Linked DNA regions of Arabidopsis thaliana. The protein of the gene in region 3 interacts with the protein of the main gene of each other region in a pairwise test. Each region holds a gene or a part of one and is shown on either strand. Other genes may lie near its edges.

Region 1 (7,788 bases), 3.0 Mb from region 3:
AGAGCCTCCATGGCCAGTCTTTTCTCATACTCTTCCTCCAGCTTGTCAAAGGACTCAGACAGATTTGCAGCATTCTTTGCTAAATCTTTATCCAACTTCACCTTTTCTTGGCTCTTCTTCACTCTTTCAACCTTGTTGTTACCTTCTGGAACAACACCGGTTAGCTTTTTCATGTTGATGACTTTAGCAAATGTGCGTCTGAGTTTTCCTTTTCCTGAAGAAACAACATCCAATGGTTTCACAGACTCCATCTGCAGATTCATCACCAATGCTTTAGTAAGATAACAAAAAAAAAAGTGAAGAAGTGGATGAATAGGACTTGTAACAATGTCTATATCGAACAAAAAGAGAAAAGTAAAAGCAAAATTAGATCTAGGACCATTAATAGAGCTTCACTTTGTAGACTTCTTTGGTTAAAACAACAAAAAAAGATGAAGAGCAGACAAGAAGCTTGAAGAGATTGTTTCACAAATGGTTCGCACTACACTTTTGGTCACAAAGGAAAGGAGGGAGATGTTTGCAATAAATATATATACACACAGAGAGAAAGAGAGACATACATGCTTAGATTATCTAGTGGATACAGCTTAAAGATTCAGCCAGAGTTGTGGGGACAATGTGGTTCATATATAAATGAAAAAAATGTTTTAATTTACAAGGAATAAACAATCAAGAAATGTCCAAGGAAGAAGAATAAACAACTTGCGTGTGTAGTACCATTTCTTTTCATGAACCGATCAACTTTTTTGCTTTCTTATTAATGTTCTGAAATCTTTTGCTATATATGTGTGTGGGGCTATTTAGTCAAATTGTGCTGCTATAGAATCAAACAAAAGTGAGAAAACAACATATAATAAAAATAACACCCAAATGGGTTTATCTGCAGAACACATGACACATGCAAATAATTCAACACCCCTCGTTCTTATTTTCTATTCAACTTTTTTCTGAAAAGGAACAGTCAAGAAAAAAGTGCGAAAGTGAATACAAAAAGAACTAATGAGTTTAAATACATATATATACTCAAAGTTGTTCATAAGTTTACAATTATGGGACACTGATAAAAGGATTAGAGTATTCAGGATTCATAATTGCTACAAACCAAATCAGTTAAACTAGAATCCAAGAACATAAAAGTGCCCCCACACACAAATACACACATGTCTCTATGTATATGATTCTCTTAAATGGTCATTTGATTCCACTCATTTGAAAAAAAAGTAAGACAGCCTCAAAGCCAAATATAGCTACCTAACATTTAGTACAGTCACAAGCTACTCACAAAACAACCATATTTCTCTATTTCACTAGAGCTTAGACCATAAAGCACACGGATTAAAGGAAAACTAATGAGAAGAGTTATGTTAAAGAGTGATAATAAACTCAGCAACATAACCAGTATTACTCCAGAAGGTCTAAATTAATATGGTTCTCAGGGTTTAATACAACTTTAGAAGCAAAGTTCATTTAAAAAGATTGTATTGAATTTACCTTCCAACAGTTCCAAGGTCTCTATCTTATCTATGTTTTGTTTGTTGTTCTCACTTCATCGTAGAGTGAATTTGAAGAAGCAAACTGGCGAAATGACAAACCAACCTCTGCTTAAACCCTGCAGATCAAATCAATCATATGAAATTATAAATCACTACCTACCAAAGGAAAAAGGATAAACACAGAACCAATATGAGACTAATATTCAAGCTGATGTGAATGCTTGACCATGGCATTATTGGTATGAATGATGGGATTGTAAGAGCATTCACAAGTCACAATGATATATTCATTTGATTGAAAATGAGAATATAAGAAACTGCAGAATAACAATGAAGACGAAATCATTCAGAAGAACAAAAGATGATAATTAATAAATATTGATTAGCTAACCAACCTGATCGATGTAAAAACACTCTCCCGGGCAAACCTCTCGGCGTTTTGCCTCTAAATTGATTCTTAACGACAATAAAATGGGTAACATACAAAAGATACAGATTCCTTCACGGTTTCAAGACAAGTCCGGAGCTCGAGAATGAGAAGAGGGGAAAAAGGCTTTAGAGTGACTGAGAGAGAGAGTCGTAGGAGAGGAGAAGAGAGTAATAAATGACAGAGAAGGGTGAGCCTAGGGAAGTTCAAAGGACATAGATTTACGTAAATACCCTCATGGTAAAGGGACATTTACACCGACATTGCTACTTTACTCCAAGAAACGTCGAAAAGGAAGTAGGGGTGTTCTCGGTATGTCAGGGAATAAGATGTTCAGACAGAACGCAAAATCACACGGTTTGGGTTGGGAATGAAACTACTTGGAAGCTGTTATTGCGTACGTACGCGAAGACCGGTCCGTCCGGTATGAGTGAGATAGATGAAAGACACGTGGCAAATTAAAAAAAAAGTGTAACCATTTCCCACATTCTCCTGAAAACGCTTTCTATTTGTTAACCCTTCTTTAGTTCCGTATTTAACTGCCTTGATGTTTATTTAATCAAACGAGAATTATGTAAGTTCATTCTCTATAAGTTCTTTTGTTTTTAAATAAGACTCTTAAATGTTGAACAAAAATAAAATAAGACTCTTAAATTATTTGTCAAGTTGCATAAAAGACAGCTGAATAGCAGTATTAGCTTTCACTAAATACGTGAAGCAACTCAATAAGTACAGTTGTCCTATCGATGAAAGCAAAATCAAGATTGAAAATTGCTAAGTCCAAAGTTTGAATCATCTTATAAGCAATAAGTAAACCAAATTAGTCTTGGTGGGCTTTAAATGCAAACTTTATAAATATAGAAATCGTGAGAATACATCATTCCAGTTATATTTGTACGAGTTATGAATACAATGCACTGATGCAGTGATGGAGTGGCATATGCATGTAATTTTATCAGTTAGTACAAAGTGAGTTAATTGTCCGTGTTTAACGGAAAGTAAAAAGCTTGAGAGACAATTCGATTTCAATTTCAAACCAAGAATTGAGAGCTATGAGCCTATGAGAGTATGGATTTGATAAAAAGGATTTTCTCTATTCACGACTATTCTTGATTTTTTTATTATGTATTAACGACTATTCACATACTATAAAGTTGCATATAATTTATTTACCTTATTTTGAAACAGACAAGAAAAAGGTATTGATGCGATTGGACATGTCGTAGAAGTGCTTCTGATCTGATCGGCTTTTTTTTTTTTGTTTCTTTACTTTAGTTTTGTCTTTTAGTATTCAAGACTTCTAGTGGCCCAGTGGCAGTGAGTATAAAGGATTTAGCACTCACTAAATGGGCGTATTGAAAGGTAAGAACCTTAATGGGCCTATTATAAGGCCCATAAAAAACACGAGTAACCCAATAAGGTAACTTTATGTTCGTTACACAATTTCTTTTCTTACTTTCAAAAAAGAAAAGAAAAAAATCTGTTGTCATCTGCAAATTGGTTTCATTCTATCAGTTGGTGTTGTGGTGTGTTGGAAGATGTGAATCGCCTCTACTAGGGTTCGATTCCAACATAAAATTGTACTTTTGGAAGATACAGAGAAAGAGATGGGCAAATCTCAGATTCTTCTAAACGCTGAGAGCTTTACTTGTTCTTCTTTCAATACTTTCTTCACTTTATGGATCTTCTTTACTCTTCACTCCTTTCCATTTCAAGCTCAAGCTGCTCCTTCTGGTAACTTTACCATACTTAACTTCGTTGCTTTGATCTATCTGCTTCACTCACTTTCTTAGTGAATTCACTCTTCAATTTCTGGTTTTTTATGTCAATTGTTGTAAATTGAATTTAGGTTCCTTGATTAAGCACATGTCATCGGTTCTCAAGTGGACTACTGGATCATCCTCTAAATTATCCCAATCAGGTAAATTCTCAATTAGTACGACTGAATTTGGTCGCCTTGATTGTTTGTTGTTCATAAACTTGGTTTTGATGTTTCTTTCTCTAACTGCTACTTGTGGTGCAGACACTAATGTTCTTCAGTTTGAGAATGGTTACTTGGTCGAAACTGTTGTGGAAGGAAACGATATTGGTGTTGTTCCTTACAAGATTCGAGTTTCTGATGATGGAGAACTTTATGCTGTTGATGAACTTAATAGCAACATCATGAAAATCACTCCTCCCTTGTCTCAGTGTAAAACTTCGTTCTCCACAAGTTCTCTTCTTTATGACTTAGTTTTTGCAGTTTTAAGTACATCCAATCATATACACATGCCATCGCAGATTATACTTGATACACTAACGATACTACTGTGATCTTTTGATGATCTTGGCTTGTAGCATTACATTTTCTATTTTACTTCAATATTCTGGTTCTTTATACTATATATGAAACATTTGATTTTCTCTTTCTTTTTTAGTGTTGGAGGTTTTTATGACTTTGTTTATAATCTATGTACTTGTGGGCAGACAGCAGGGGAAGATTGGTGGCTGGATCTTTTCAAGGAAAAACAGGGCATGCAGATGGAAAACCGAGTGAGGCTCGTTTTAACCATCCGAGAGGCGTTACAATGGATGACAAAGGGAACGTTTATGTCGCTGATACTTTGAATCTCGCCATCCGAAAGATTGGTGATTCAGGTATACAAGTTTTCTATAGGTTTTACTTACATCAGCACTCAAAAACTGAAATGGTTGCTTGTTGTTGAAAAATATAATTAAACTGAGAAGAATTGTGTTCTTAAGAGTCTGAAACATTTTTGTTACAGGTGTTACTACGATAGCTGGGGGAAAATCAAATATAGCTGGGTATAGAGATGGGCCAAGTGAGGATGCAAAGTTCTCAAATGATTTTGATGTCGTATATGTTCGGCCTACCTGCTCGTTGCTGGTCATCGATAGAGGAAATGCGGCTCTTCGCCAAATCTCTCTCAGTGAAGAGGACTGTGACTATCAAGATGATAGCTCAATCTCTCTAACTGGTAAGAAGTCAAAAACACCTCTTCCCACTACATAGATCATTTTGCATACACTCTGTTTAGGGGTGGATTTGAGAGTGTTAACAGAAGATCATTGCGTGCTTACATTCGGTGCAGATATACTCTTGGTTATTGGTGCTGTTCTCATTGGTTATGCTACTTGTATGCTCCAGCAGGGCTTTGGAAATTCTTTCTTCTCAAAGACGGTAAATTTCTATCTCTTCTCTTTCGTGCCTTTTCGCTTCTCATCAACCATATGCTACAAACAACAACAATTTCTGTTTTATCTTACAGCAGGTAGGATCAGAAACCAGCTATGAAGAAGAGCATCCAGGAAAAGAGAAACTCTCCCGGCCTGTCCATGAGAAAACAATAACCAAGGAAGAACCTGGTTGGCCATCATTTGGGCAACTCCTTACTGATCTCTGCAAACTTGCTCTCGAGTTTATAACCAGCCACCTAGTTCCAGCCCGATTCCAAACCAACCCCAATCTAAGGCCATTAAAAGATAGACTCATAATGCCTGAAGACGAACAAGAACCACCTCGAGTCCAAAGGCATACTGCCCCAGCACCAATCTCAGAATCCCGACATGCTCACTTACCTAAAGCTGATGATAGTTACCCTGAACATAAGACGCCAAAGCTAAGATCAAGTAGTGTAATGAAGGACCCTACTTTGTCATCATCCAAGCACCATCGGACATCATCAAAACGGCAGGACTATGCTCAGTTCTATGCCTCGGGAGAGGTTGCCCAACCGAAGATCCATAAAGAGCGGTCAAGGCGTCGTCATAGAGATAAAACAACCGAGACAGAACCAAAGCCAACACCATCAGATACGGTGAAGCCTGTGGAGTACAGTAATAGTTCAAAGTTTGATCATTACAACATGAGGAGCAGCAAGTATGGACCTGAAACTCCATTTCGATTCTAGAAAGTAAAATCACATACTCATTAGAACCCTTTTCTGAGTATGTTGTGCCCTTTCTTTTGTCCTTGGTTTGAGGAGATTCCTTATGTTTTCTTTTTGTTAGTTACTAAGAAAATCTTATTACACAGATGATGAAAAAGAGGTTAAAGGCTTTTCTTGTAACGAAGGATTGATGAATCATGACTGAAAATCTGATGTATTATGAACTTATACGATCACAAGAACAGGCTCTTCGTTACTAACTTGCTATTAACACATTCTTGCTTGCTATATATAGATCTTTGGCTGCTAGAGATAGGTTCCTTGCTAACCATGGTCCTAAGAAAGTATATATAATTGTAAAGAATCTTAGTCAAAAAAAAAAAAAGGAAAAAAAAATGAAGGGCCCTACCGGGTTCGAACCGGTGACCTCTTGATCTGCAGTCAAATGCTCTACCACTGAGCTAAGGACCCTTTTGTTCAACTCATGATACATTCATTACAAAAATATTAGGTGCTCATGATAGAACAGAGTAAAATCTATGTGTTTGGCATGGAGATAAAGAGAGTACGAATACGAATATGATTTTTTAAGATCGAATTTGATAATAACTTGACTTCATTCATACGAATATGATTTTTTAAGATCGAATTTGATAATAACTTGACTTCATTCAGTTCCATTTTTATAGAATTATTGTAGAGATTTGGTTGAAACTTTAATAATTGGAATGTGCTTTGTTGACAAACTATCGATCAGTTGAAAAACGACCTTACTAAATGAATTAGCTATAGAAGTTTTGATCTATACAGTTTCATATTGTGTTCACTTACACTACACGGAGGTAGGGTTTAGATTAATTATTTTTCTTGATCATTCGATTTCTTTAATTCTAATAACCTATGTATGATTACAAAATTCAGAAACGGACCTTTTATTCAGATTTAAATGATCAATCACAATAACAAATGCTATAATTGATGTTTCCGTATTTTATTTCTTTTACTCAACCATATAATTGTAAAGAATCTCATTCCAAGTATCCGGTACCCCAGAGAGACACCAGTGGCTGCAGTCACCGGAGGAGTTTCGCCCGCCTAGACCGTAAACCGAAGGATGAGCATCTTTGCGAAGCAACGAAAGCATCGTAATGTCTAGCAATGTCACCGGTTTCGATATTTTCCCGAGTGCTCTCTTCAAAACTCCCACTTCTGCTGGCAATCCTCCTGGATATTTTGTCCCCAAAAGTGGTTCCTTCTGTCCCACGCAACTCTTTGCCGCTGGTTCGCCCCACAGAACTCCTCTGGTAAACAACAAAGCCAACTTTTTAAATACAAGTTTCTTTAGTTGATCATCTTTTTAATCAACAAAATCAACTTACTTGTAATGAGATGGAGAAATTCCTTGAAAAAAGACTCTAGTTTTCTTAGTATTTAAGACGGTATCGACCCATTTCCCCCAAGTCCCAAGCGCAATTTCAAACGCGGCCACACGGTCCATGTCTTTTGTAACGTTAGTCCCTATTTGAATCAAATCCCATCTGCCAAAATTAACAAAACAAATCCAAACTTTGAACATTGCATGTAATTAAGCCAAAAACAAAGCATATTAATTCAGAGTTACTTGAACGTACGGTTGTGCAGGACCTCTCCGACTCCACCAATGCCAAGTATTAAAAATCAATGTATCCATCTCTACCCAATTTTTTCCATCATTGATCGAATCAAGCTTCAAAACTCTCCCAATCTTCTCCCTAACTATATCTACTAGATAAACATTCCTATCAAGCTTCAATTCCAGTCCATACTCCTGCAATTTTCACCACTCCGGTTTAGTTCATCCCGGTTTTCTATTCAACTTGACCAAAACAAGTGTAGATTTGGTAATAACAACTACCTTGAATGTGTAGGTTGATATACTACCTTGTGTGGTTAAAGTATACGTAGAATTTGGAACAGAGGAATGAAGCATACATGCCAA
Region 2 (6,704 bases), on a different chromosome or scaffold from region 3:
TGTTAAATCTATAGTATCTCTTATGTTCTTATTCCTCCTGGTTTATCTTTGGTTAGCTGGGAAGGGTGAGATACCCTTTCTATATAAATCCATTTTTTCCCATCTCGGCGTTTCCAGGTTGCACGAGCGTCTCCAAGAGTGTAACGGTGATGAGGTCCTCAAAGCAGAAGCTGGTGCTAAAGTTCAAAAGTTTACTGAATGGGCACTCAAATGTATAGGTTTTCACTCCCGATGCCAGGGCCCTAGAGATAAAGCTAACCAAGACTCAGCTGCTGAGATCCAACTCCAGCTTTCTGCTTTCAAGATGTTCTTAGATCTTGCAGGAAACCATCTATCAGGAAAGGATTTCACAGAAGCCTTTGATGCAGCTTGCTTCCCGCTTACGCTGTTCTCTACCTCGTTTAATCCTGGCTGGGCTTCTGGAATTTCAGCTACTGTCATACATGGATTGCTCGGTATGCTGGTGGAAGGAGGCGCAGATAATGTAAATCAGTGCTTCCTTGAAGCTTCTCGTTTTGGGAGCACAGAACTTGTGCGCATCTTGTTGCAGGTAAATCTAATTCTTAATGACTGCTTGCAAGTTACTTTGTGCAATCTAACTGAACTTTTTCCTGGTGCAGATTGCTCAAAGGAATAGCTTAGACGTGGATGTTGACTTAGCCCTTGGTTTTGCCTCGCATTATAGTAAAATCGAAACGATGGATTGCCTTGTAGAAGAAGGTCATGCAATTGCTTTCTTGGGTCCCTTGATGAGAGCAGCGGAGAGAGGTTGCATGCAAGTTGTTCAATGGTTTGTGAAACGAGGCTGTCGTGAAATGGAGCTATGCTTAGCTCTCACAGCCGCCACTTCAAGCAGCCAGGTTGAGGTTGCTGCTTATCTCCTTCCTCATGTTCCAAGACCCGTCCTTACTGCTCTCAGCATTGAAATCCTCAAAGCAGCCGGTGAAAGAAGTGGTGGTTCCCTCCACGGAGTAGAGTTTCTCCTTAAATCAGATTTCCTCGGGGATCCAGCAGCCACATATTCAGTTGCAGACACCATTGCAAAGTCAGAAGACGAGTCTGTTCCTTCCGACCTCAAATCGTTTCTCCAAGAACAGTGGTCAGAAGCTGCATTCAACCAAGGATTGAAGGAAAGCCGGGAAAATTACATGAATTTCATGAGAGTTTTGAAACTCGGAGAGTCTGCAATAAGTCTAAAGGATCTCCCAGCACCATTGAGAGTGGCAATCGCCTACATGCCACTGTACAGAGAGTGTGTGGATGCGGGTGGCCGGCTGCTCTCACAAAAGCTAAGAGGACAGCTCGTGGAAGCTGCAACACAGCTTGAAGGCTTCGATGTAGACACAGAAGAAGTAAAGAAAGGTCATCATCAGCTCATGACCATCTTGGAGCATCACCTTCCTCTTTTTTTGGTCAAAGCTTCTTTACACTGAGCAACAATGGATTCAGCATCTGAGTTAACACAACTCGTTTTAAATAGTTGATAAAATAAGAACTGAAAAACAACCATTCCACTATAGTTATGGATTCTGATCCAGGTTGTGAGATGATGAAAAAGGGTTCTTGTAGACTTGTACAAACTTGCTATGAGAATGTCTTTGTCAAAAGTCTCTCTATCTGTCTTTTATGCATCCTAAACCATGGGAGAGATAATCAAAGCCTTTTATATTATTTCATCTACATATTATTTCACTTCTTCTGTCTCAGACTCTTATTGGTCTCCTCTCCTGTAATGAAAGCCTTTCAATTTCTTACATTTTGTACCAATCTCTCATCCTGGTTTTGCTTCAGACCATGAGAAAAATGAAATCATGAAACTATTAATCATTCTTTATTTATATAAATAGTTGTATAATTCTGCATCAAGAAAACAAGTTTTACAAATGAAATATTAATCTCTTACCCTGAAACCTTATGTAATGACAATAGACAAAACCTCCCTTTGTTTAAGGATTTCTTTCTTCAATTAAAGAAACGTTTATTACATAAAAGTGGAAGAAGAAGAAACATGTTTGGAATTAGAAGAAGGCATGAAAGCAAGAACCATAAGCAAAACCATAATCCCAATAGGAATCAAAAGCAGCATAAAAGGAGGAGGAGGCAATGGTGGAAGAATCAACGGTAAGATCAAGAGAGATGCTGTGAGACCAACAAGCACAACCATTGATTCTAAACTGAAGTAACTCGCTGATATTAGCCTCCTTGGACTGTTCTGCGACGACAATGTCCGAAACAATTCTTGCTTCCCCATAATCGGAGCTGGAGCTGAACCACGAAAACTCGTGTTTTTCCGGTTATGATCTCCTCTCACGTCCATGTTGTTGTTGAGAGAATAATGTTCTTGAATGTTTATGATGTCGTTTTGTAGACTGGAGAACTCACGAATCATTTAAAGAAGGCTTTTTCTCTTTTCGAAGTTTGATCTGGAAAATCAGATCGATGTATGAAGAAGAAACTTGAGTTTGTTTATCCAAACGCATAAAAAGTAACGAACTTTTCTTCTTCTTCTTCTTCTGTAAATGTAGTTTGGTTGAAGAACCCTGACGATGAAATGATTATCCCGAAATGCAGACAAAATCTAAGGTTTAGAACGAGTGATCTTGGCGTTTCCAGACCTAAAAGGACTAATCTTTTTTTTTTGCCGGTAGAGAGAAAAGATTCAATTGGTGTTTCAAGAAAGCTGCAAGAGAAAATTTGTCCAAGTTTTGATCAGTAAATCGTTGTGATTCAATCAAAAACATGAGCAGAGAATGAATCAAAAGAATCGAAAGTAAGTACCTTTAAACCGTTAGAGCCAAACACACCTTCAGCGAGAAGAAGATGAAGATTGAACGTTGGAAACCAAAAACAGGGTGTTAAAGCTTAAATACAGAGGAAGACGAAGAAAGTTTCTTTTGGTAAGAAAACCAGAGAAGAAGAAATAAAGTGGGAGTGGTTTTGATAAAAGGAATTGGTATAAAAATAGATGGTAAAAGATAATGAGAGAAATAAATATAATGTTTTTGGGGTTAAGACTGTGGAATCAGAGAAGAAACAGGAAACAGAGGAAGGTTCACTGAATTTACAGATTTTTCTAAAATGATAAGATTTTAATTTTAATGTTTTTTTTCTCTTTTGGGGGTGACAAGTGTGAGAGGCAAGTTGCTGCTTATTCTGGAAGGTCTGAACAAAATTGAAATCTCTCTATTTGATTACTTTACACTTCTCTCTCTCTTTCCACAATCACAGTGGTTCTTCTCCCCTAGACACTTTCTCTGATGATGACGTGGGATGGAATTTATTTGGGGTAAGCCTCTGTTTGAGATGGAGGTTTCAGTTTCTTTTGGAATATTCAATGGTGGTTTTTAATTAAAACGAATCCAAACTTTTATAACGTTGATCGTGTATTATTGTAGACTATAGTCAAAGTTGTTTGGTTGAAATAAATAAAGCAGTATCAGTCATTAATAATACTAGAAACAAATAATTAAAGATAAGATAAATATTTTAGGTTATCACAAATAATCTTTGTTCTATATGATAATGTTTTGTTTGTTTTATATAATCATTTAGAGTTGTAATCTATTGAAACTATGGACGGGGAAACGTACTAATTAAAGATTCGAATTCCTCGCGCACAAAAAATTGAATATGAGAAGTGATAGCAATAATCAATAGATTGAATTCGGTGAATTACCAAATTAGTTTGACAAATATATTCAACATTTATCACTTTTTTTTTGTCATAGAACTGTATAATATGTATATGTATATGTGTGTGAATTAATTAAATTTTCCAACCTAATAATAATGTTGTCTATGTGTTATCGACCGATGATGACCCATATTGTTATTCCTCTCGGCATTTCATGTGGTGGCTATATCATATTATCGTTTTTAGTGGGACAGTTGGTCCAATATTTATTTCTCTTTCGTTTTATGCTTTTAATAGTCAGAAGAAATGCCAACTTAAATTTATATAATTAGGGAATTTTGTATTTTACATGATACATAAAGGATACATAAGTGGTCTTATTATTATTATTATTATTTATTTTAAAAAGGGCTAGGTGTTGTTTAGTATGATTTAAACAAAAAAGTGATATAGTATTAAATATCGTACTATATTAAAAATGCTATTTGTTAAAAATACAAGACAGCTTATTATTTTTAAAAACACATAAAATAATATATTAAGATTTTTTTTTTTTCATTCATTATCTTTCAGGTAAACCGATATAATTTATTTGTTTAACAGCCTAAAAATGTAATAATTAAAATATCTAATGGATATATTCATAAGTACTTTTCGTTGGGTGTTTAATTAAGAGGGACATGATAATTTTCGCAAGCAGTTTAGTTTCAGCCGTTCTGGTATTAACCAATTGACAGCTTACCAAAATCCACTACTCATTTTTTATTTTTTTTTCAATCCAAAATACTTATTTATCCAAATTCAATGAATCGCATGTATAACATCTATTGATTACGTCTTTTCTACTTTTTTTTACAAAGGAGAAATGGTTTTATTCGTCAACTACTAGCTAAACTCCCAATGGAAATGACATTACTATTCTACAATTATAATGGCTCAAGTAGACATAATTACAACAAAACTTCACCTCCCGCTTTAAACAAAAACAAAACTTAATTAACGTCAATAAAAAGATGATGCAGACTTTTAAATTGTTAGAACAAAGTTTAACAACTATATATAACTGATCAGTTATATAAATAGCATATACACCATAGTGATATCTTCCCGATCTTAAAAGATATTCAAATTATCTTGTGGATATGTACTTGATTCGATATCTTTGATTTTTTGTATTCATGATCTTATGGTTAGGATCGATGCCACCAGTTCCTATGTAAACAAATAGATAATATGTAGGTAAATAACATTGCTTATACCAATCTAAATGTCAGTTAAGAATATATTGATACATATGTTTATAATGCCTTACAGATTTATAGAAAACCCATATTTGATTATAGTGATATATATAAGAACGTATACAGAGAGCGCAATCTCTTATCCAAATCAGAAAAAGATTTCAATTCGTAGCCAAAACCAAGAAAGATATAAGATATAGGTGAACTATAGGAGGGTGTTTTTTTTACTCGTAATTCCTTGGATTCTATTGGTTAATCCATCATCCATAGTGTGTGTATATTTAATTTTTAGAAAATTAGAAAGAAAAAAATTGTAGAAAGGGAAAGCTATATAGAAATGGCAACCCATGCATGATTGCCTTGAACATCGCAAACCCTCCCTTAGATTGCATGTCTAGTGGAACATAGTGGACCTGCAACAATATTCAACAAAAAATTCATATTATATACATTGCATAATGCATAGTAGGACATAATAAGATGAATTATTATGCTCAATAACAAGTTTATATGATATGCCCACAGTTTCATCACATATACTTGAGTTTATTAAAACGAATGATTCTATTTCTCTATTAAGATTAGCCTTTATTAATTGTTAGTGGTATGAGATATATTGAAGAAAATAAGTATAAGCAAAAAAAATGTTGATAGAAGAATTAAATAAGCAATAATTTCAAAAGGTATGTAATGTGGATGAAACGGCACATGTCGTTGTCACGTGGCTCGTTCCCATCGATTCAATGCATATCTCGACCAACTTGACTTATTAATATTCCTCGTACAACTCTCCAATCTAAAGCCACCTTTCTTCTACGTTATACATTTTCTTTTTCTGTTTTCTTTTAAATACTTTCTCCTCACAAATTATTGTTTTCTATTATCTAAAATCAATACCGTTAGGAAATGGTGTCTTTATAACACTTTAGAAAAATATAATTAATCATTTTCTAATGTATTATTTTTGTAATTGAGTAATTTGATTTAAAAATATAAACTAATATAATAATATTGGTATTTAATCATTTCAAATATTCTTAATTATATTCTTTTTGAATACACGCATATTGTTCTAAACTATTAATTTCTTACAAAAATTCTATATTATTTATTGTGTCTACAAACAAAAGAGTCGTCTAATCATTTTTGGTTTCATTTTTTTTTTGCTAGAAATCAAAAACAAATTCCTCATTTTTTTTGAGGTAAGCTAATGTTATTTTCTAATAACAATCATAAGTAATACCCGTGGTTTAAAGTTTACACGGTATTAATTAGGTACTACAGCCATGGTGGACGGTGGATCTTCATCACCTAATCCGTACAATTAAGAGACAATTAATTACATTAAATCATGTGCATTAGTTGATTTAGGAACTAATTGATAAATCAACTCTAAAGACTAAAGTAGTGCGATAGATAAAGCTAAAGTATATATTTTCTTCAGTATAAAGATAGGAATATATGGGGACATATACTTTTGTCGATTTTGTATCCAGCTTTGCATCAGTGAAGTCTGAGCGAAGATATGACCAGACTTAAAAAGCAACTAAAAAGATGCATAACAGAAACACAAAAATAAAATTCATGCATCTGCTAGTCATAGAGGTTATTGGATTCATTGCACGTATCTTAATGATTCGTTTTCGTTTCACCTCCCTTGCTACAAAAGATTTGAAAGAGAAAATGTTAAATTCTTTAGGTCAGAATCAATTAAGATAATTTCATTTTCTTCTTGTGTTTTGTACGTCACTTGTTTCTTTTTTCGTTGGTTATGTACCAAAACATGAAAAGTTCAAAAATTGTTAATTAGAAGATTAAAGAGAAGAGTA
Region 3 (7,021 bases):
ACTTATATAAACCATTAACCTTAAAATTGATACTTCCCCGGTACTCTTACCTAGACAATAAAAGTTAACTCCAATCTGTCCTTGAATATTAAAAACTTTCCTCATATTGGCTTCTCCCGCAAGAGTTGCAGCAAAAACCAGAAGGATGATAAAGATAAGGAAAACCCCATTCATAGTCCACAAAAGTGGGATTAAATAAGATTTTTCGTGATTTCTCTCATGTTTCTCTACAAACTTTTCCCACAAACTTGATCTCTCAAAGTATAGAAACGTTCTCCAGTAACAAAGTATACCTTGCACCATCAGAGTGTATCTAAACCCATACAACCACGAGATCCCTCCCAAAACCCTATTGATACCCAAGTAAATAGGTCTCAATATAAAGAGGAAGATAGGACGCATAAGATACTGGTAAATGGGATGGAGAACAAACTGGTAAACAAAGAGGAAGATAGGACGCATAACATACTGGTAAATGGGATGGAGAACAAACTGGTAAACAAAGTGATAAACCCCGAAAACAAAATCCCCAAAATTAACCATTGACAATGTAGAAAGGGAAAGGGAAAGGAAGAAGCTTAGAAATGGATCTGAAAATGGTGGAGAAAGAAGAGCGAGAGGAAATAGGAGTGGCACCGTGGGTTGTTTTATAAGAAAAATAAAATCTTTTTTACCATTTTCATTCATTGTTTGTCGTTTATGCACGTGCATTCGTCCCTCTCTTTTTTTTTCAGTTGTATTTGTGTGAAACTTTAATTTAATTAGTTATACCAATGGATTTTTTTTCATAAGGTTCGTATTGAAGCATACAAATGATGTTTTTGTTTACATGTATTTATGCATAATTTGTATTTTGTAATTTCAGAATTGACCCGAATTATTTGAATTTTTATAGTTTAGAAAGAAAAAAAATCAGACAAAAAAATTTACTTTAAACAAATAATGAAAAAACCTAATAAGTATCCAGGGTATTCCAATAATGAGTAGTGGTAATCATTTTCCTTTTTAAAATTTTATATTAATAGTACTAAGTAACACAATTTGATGTGGTAATCTTAATTTTTTTTCTGTAGATAAACATTTACTTATTTACTCCTTCAGTAAACAATAAAACAACCCTAAAAGCGCATGTATTTTGTCTTTTATATAAAGTAAGATGATTTCTGTAAAAAATAAAAAATAAAAAAATAAGAATATAAAGAAGATGACAGCGACGGGATTGAAGGTCGCGATTCTTCCCCAACGGCAACAATTTTTTTTGGACTTTTTGGTCAATACTTTTTTTTTCTTTTGACATCCGGTCAGCATCATCAGTACTTAATTTCTTCTTGGATAAAGACATTGTTTAGTTTAATAAGCTTAATTCATATAGTAGAATAATTTAATATGATTACCAAATGTATTAGGAGTTGTAAAATTCATCCGCTTGTTCATTTTATGTTTAGGTAAGTTTTCAAACCCTAAATTAATCATAGTCTACACAATTTTTGTTTACTAATAATTAATGCTATAATAGAGAAATCGTAGTTTTACGTTGGGCAACTGCGTGGTAACTGGTATTCATTTTTTTTTTTTTAACTGGTATTCATATTGGGGGCTTTTATAAGAATTGACATATATTGAGCTGAAAATTAGAAAATAAACACTTTTATGATGAGTTAATAGGGTTGGATACTTTTCAAAACTGGCTCGGTCGGTTTAGAAATTTTGTTTCGGGTCATAACGGAGGCCTAGACTTAATTTATCATATCTTCACATGCATCGCCATTTCTATTTTATATGTGTTTTCTAGTGTAGGATAAAAATTTTTATATTGGGATGTATATAAAAATATGAGTGTCTTTTCGAATTTTTTCTAGTATCCAAGACATAATTGGAAAACATGATTAGGGACAATGTTTACATAAAGAAAAGGTTTTTCTTAGAGGGACAATATTTGCACAGGTGAGAAATCTGCTTAGTGGAAAGACGACACTTAAGATATGTATTTATTTTTTAGACAAAAAAAAAGATATGTATTTATTAGTTTACATGCAAAAGGCCAATAAGTTCTCTCGTCAATGGACAATGAATCAGAAGCATTCCTTATTTTGTTCCTTCTTCTGTATTCTTGAGGTCCCTACTGAATTGTCAACGTCTACAAAAAAGTTCCCCTATGATACTCATTTTCGACGGCATTACGGTAAACAACGTTATATATTTTGGATATAAAAAGAAGAAGATAAAGCATATATCCAACGTTTACTATGCTGCCATCTTGAGATTGTAAGGATACGAATTAGGTAAATGTTGGTCACAACAATATTCCGTTGAGTTATAGCGTCTCACTAATAAAGACTGTATCCTAAATTTCTAATAAAGAAAAAAAAAGAGTTGCATCTACCACATTCATCTAGTTAGATATGAGGTGCTTTGAATGGTAATGATTTGTCTCAAAAAATCTATCTAGCTAGTTTTCAAATATAAGAGATCTAAAAATAGATATATACATAGTTATCCGTAATTAGTGAGATTTGGGATGTGCTAAAACACTCTCCAAGGGTTCGAGCTTTCCTAAAACAAATATCACATTTATATCGAAAATCTAGATTAGACCCTAACAGTTTATATTATGATGGTAGTCCAACAATAGGCTATATGGCTACTCCCAAACATTAGTATGGAAATATTCCAAATTCGAGATAAGCAGTGTAGCGGTCATTTAAGAAAAAAATCCACTTTGTAATATTTTAATACCTTCCTAACCAAACTAACAAGATCAACTAATATAATTTATAAAAAAAAAAATAGATAGTCTAAGTCATGCTTAAATATCCAGATATTTATACATGCAAAAAAAGTCTCTTGTGAATTAGATCTGACAATCATTTTGAGAGTAATCTAATAGAATTTGAATGCCCTATTAGTAGGCCCAGGATAGTAGAAAAAGTAGAAAAACATTTCAAAAACAAAGAGAGTTAATAGGCAGAACCCAAATGGCTGGGTTTTGGGATCATACTGACCAGCAAATACAGCTGAGCAGCATCCAAATAACAAAATGAGCACTACATAAAAAAAGTAAAATCTTTCTACAGGGAAAACCAACTGAACCAACACGAAAATTCCAAAAACCACTGATATGATCAAAACAGATGCTGCAAGGGTTTGGAAATTGAAGACAGTAAAGTAGATTATGGTAAGCAGTATGAGAGGGATAACAGTTCTCACCCATCGATGTGCTCTGTAAACTGGAGATGGAGCTTCAGAGAAAATGGAATGCAAGACTGGAATCACATAGATAGCTACAACAAACATTACCAGATAAGAGACATCCATCTGGATCTCCAAGGCATTCACAGCACCCACAGCTCCAAAAACGCAGAGAAAAGCCATGATAGTCCAACCAAATCTGGTTACTGGATCATTCACACCAAACACTTCAACTCTCTGGGGAATCTTCGTCTTTCCTTTATTATTTTGGTTTCGCTTAGATTTTTTGGCCATTGTTGCCGGGGTTTTTCTTTTATAGAGATGGAGTTAGGAAGATGAACTGCGACGGATAAGAAAGATGCTTTAAAAGCGACGGGAAAAAGAAAGAAAGAAAGAAAGATGCTCTAAAACTAGGGTTTGCTTCTTTCTTTAAACCGGGAAAGTAAGTAAAACCATGTGCTGCTTTTGACAACTGTCATCCGCTCACTGTTTTTTATTTTTGGAAAACCACTAAGTTTTATTTTTATTTTGGTTTTAGTTAATAGCATACCGTGTTGATTCGTCTGCTAGCCTTTTTAAAAAGTAATGATTTTTTTACCTGCAAATAACTAGGTTGAAAAAGTAATAATAAAATTTTTTTACATACCGAGTAGTATTCTTCCTTTATTTGAGTTGTCTTCCCGTGCGCTGACGTTATCGTCCGAGCTGCCGAGCTGGGAGTGTCATCGTCGAGGTTCTCCAAGTGACGCCCGCCTGATGACTTCTCCTCTTGTTCTTGGTTAGGCGTGAGTGATAACGAGGTCGGTATGTTTAATGAGGTTATGGGATGTTCCTCTTTGATCGGCGGCACTTCCTCGTTGGTCAGTGTTATTGTCCTGACTGCCGGGCTGGAAGTGTCATCGCCTAGGATGATGGGGTCGATAGTTCCTTGAAGTCCTTTTCTTGTCGGAGAACATGCTGCGATATCGAATGAAGAGGTCGAGTGACTGGCTCTCCCGGGGATCGACGTTGTCGTTTTACTTCCAGAGCCTGACGAGTCGGTATCGAATGCTCCATGTAGTCTGTTTGTTATCACTTTGCTTCGTCGCGGGGTCGTAGTTTTGAGAGATATCTTCGAGCTATCCCCCTACCTGGCGCGCCAACTGTTGATGCACGAATCACACAAGTACGAAAATGGGATCTCTAGGGAAGGAAGAATCTTTCTATTAAAGACGAGCCTGCGACTTAGGCGAATTGGACGGATTACAAAGGATGATTTCTTCAACGAGCATAGATGGAGTAAGAACGAGCTGATTGTAGATGAAAGGCGAGCTTGATGCCGGAAGACGAACTTGATGTCCGAGGAAGAATAGAGTTTATTCGTTTTATAGCTGAACCTTGTAAAAGGTTGCCTACGTACCCTTAGAAAGGGATCAAGCCACTTCGAGCTATCCCCCTACCTGGCGCGCCAACTGTTGATGCACGAATCACACAAGTACGAAAATGGGATCTCTAGGGAAGGAAGAATCTTTCTATTAAAGACGAGCCTGCGACTTAGGCGAATTGGACGGATTACAAAGGATGATTTCTTCAACGAGCATAGATGGAGTAAGAACGAGCTGATTGTAGATGAAAGGCGAGCTTGAGGCCGGAAGACGAACTTGATGTCCGAGGAAGAATAGAGTTTATTCGTTTTATAGCTGAACCTTGTAAAAGGTTGCCTACGTACCCTTAGAAAGGGATCAAGCCACACGTAGTTCATATTAGAATAAGTGAGCTAGGCCGTCATTGGAGGTAGGTCGGCAGGTAGTTGACGAGGGATGAGCTGATAGCTAGACGAGGAGTTGGACGAGCTGACTAGCTGACAGCTAGGCGAGGAAATGGTCGCTGAGTGATGGGAAGAGCTTGAAGACGAGCTGAGGAGCTTGAGGACGAGTCGAGTTTGAAGAGCTTAAAGGCGATCTGAAGAGCTTGACGAAGTGGAGCGAGCTAACGAGCTTCTTGAGAAGGGCGAGCTGATGAACTACTTGAGAAGGGCCCAATCCGACCCCTAACAAAGACTTATGTTTAGATATGTTTTCATGCGATCCAAACTATACTATATATTTTTTTGGACGGATTTTTTAATAAGTTTTATGGAGTTCACAGACGAGTTTGAACGAAGCGTTTTCTTTATATATGTGCTATGCGAAATAAAAACTTGAAGACAAATTTAAATAATAATGTGATGTAGTAGGGCAATTGCATAATCGATAAATCCGGATAAGTGTGCCCCGATACAACAAAAGCAACAACGTTTACGAGGACAATGAATAAGACACTAATGGCACCTTTGACACGCTCCTGGCCTATAAACTATGGTTCGAATATGTTTGTAGATATGCTGATTGAGAGAATCTACAAAGACAGATAATAGCCAATATACTCTGACATACTCGAGCCAGTGTGTCTTTAACTGGGAGAACTTCTTCCTGAAGTGTGAAACAGAACCAGAAAAGTTACATACGTACATGCTCGAGAGATTTATTCGCAGCAAATAGATTGGTTCTCTTTTTGCAGCTTCTCCCAAAGACACAAAATTAGTCTAGGAGTTTGGTAATGAACAAGAATGTAATTTGATTTACAATCACTGTTATGAAATCTTTTGTCATTGATGTACTTCACTCTTTTTATCGTCTGGTTGAATTGTTGAATCCATATCCCCATCGCCACATCTTCCAGCTTGAAAAGCTTTCAACAAACAACATAAGAACAACGTCACTTATGATATCTAGGATTCGTTATATCTTAACTCTATGGTGATGAAACTACAAAACTCACTCCAAGATCTCTTTGACGGTGACCCTTCACCACAAATTTCGCTATATCATGAGAGATGATGTAGCCAGGGCCATGTGCCCATGGAGGGTATGAATCTAAAGGCCATTCCTTCACAAAGAGAAAGCCATATATGAGTCTCTAAGAGGATTAGAGCCCACAGAGGTGTGAGAAATATTGAGAAGTTTTACCTCTTTAGGGATAAACCATTTGCTGCCTTGTTCACGGTCCGGTGATGAATCAAATGAGATCAAACCGTACAGAAGGGCACTAGACGGTCTTTCTTCTAGACTTGATAGGAGCTCATCAATCCGTACAAACGCATCATCATCCGTCTTCATTATGTATTTTGCTGGGATGACTTTGGTCTGTATCAACATGGAGAAACATCCATCAGAGAGGGATTAACCAAGACAAGGCAAGAAGTGATATCTCATAGTTTCTATGTTTGTGTAAACTACTAGTAGCTTACCCCGAGAATGCAAAGCGCAACTGTTTTCAAGCTAAGTAAACCATAGTAGTCAACAAATGGCATAAACTGAATGTCTCCATATGCCTTAGATTCTCTCCACATCTCTAAATTGACTTTTTCATTTGTGTGCTGAGTAAAAGAAACGCCAAGTTAATGCTAAGATATGTATAAATCCAAGGAGGAATGTTAGCTTGCAGAGGTACTTACAAGGCCAATGAGAAATCGAACAGCTACTTTGCCAGATCTTACTGCCTCGTATTGCATCCAAGATCTTCTCAATGCCATACGCCGCTTAAAATTATTTCCAGTGGAGAAAACACCCACCAATAGTTCTATTCTTGTCCCGGAAAGAGATGGAGCTTTAAGTTTCTCTTCTATGATTAAAGATGCATGGTCATCGGGAATGGGCAGTCTTGTGGCTAAGACAGATAAAATTTTCAAACCACCTGAGACTTTGACTGCACTGACTAACCATGGCTCGAGCTTCTGAAAATTAGATATGTCAGTTTTAAACAAAGCAACAACCTCAAAACTAACATGGTATAGTCATCCTTTACCTCCCTG

What was found.
Region 1: the proteins of AT3G06435 (region 3) and AT3G14860 interact in a protein complementation assay, tested with the Arabidopsis thaliana proteins (one large-scale study listed by BioGRID).
Region 2: the proteins of AT3G06435 (region 3) and ARL interact in a protein complementation assay, tested with the Arabidopsis thaliana proteins (one large-scale study listed by BioGRID).

Annotation. Positions count from the first base shown.
Region 1 is NC_003074.8:4,996,634-5,004,421, reverse strand, and holds AT3G14860 (NHL domain-containing protein), read left to right. Parts: upstream 1-3,375; 5' UTR 3,376-3,527; coding exon 3,528-3,654; intron 3,655-3,769; coding exon 3,770-3,841; intron 3,842-3,943; coding exon 3,944-4,111; intron 4,112-4,386; coding exon 4,387-4,557; intron 4,558-4,685; coding exon 4,686-4,898; intron 4,899-5,012; coding exon 5,013-5,101; intron 5,102-5,189; coding exon 5,190-5,831; 3' UTR 5,832-6,118; downstream 6,119-7,788. Other genes in the region: AT3G14870 (hypothetical protein (DUF641)), read right to left, coding at 1-263; TBL41 (TRICHOME BIREFRINGENCE-LIKE 41), read right to left, coding at 6,811-7,111, 7,190-7,348, 7,442-7,617, 7,705-7,788.
Region 2 is NC_003071.7:18,233,411-18,240,114, reverse strand, and holds ARL (ARGOS-like protein), read right to left. Parts: upstream 3,327-6,704; 5' UTR 2,779-3,326; intron 2,681-2,778; 5' UTR 2,390-2,680; coding exon 1,982-2,389; 3' UTR 1,942-1,981; downstream 1-1,941. Other genes in the region: AT2G44090 (Ankyrin repeat family protein), read left to right, coding at 118-550, 621-1,433. UniProt on the Arabidopsis thaliana protein: Promotes cell expansion-dependent organ growth, probably via a brassinosteroids signaling pathway. Acts downstream of BRI1.
Region 3 is NC_003074.8:1,967,222-1,974,242, forward strand, and holds AT3G06435 (uncharacterized protein), read right to left. Parts: upstream 3,564-7,021; 5' UTR 3,494-3,563; coding exon of another isoform or gene 3,484-3,493; coding exon 2,881-3,483; 3' UTR 2,138-2,880; coding exon of another isoform or gene 2,120-2,137; 3' UTR 1,815-2,119; downstream 1-1,814. Other genes in the region: AT3G06436 (uncharacterized protein), read left to right, coding at 3,119-3,142, 3,184-3,391, 3,471-3,493, 3,728-3,775; AT3G06440 (Galactosyltransferase family protein), read right to left, coding at 5,692-5,898, 5,989-6,096, 6,177-6,353, 6,458-6,586, 6,665-6,943, 7,015-7,021.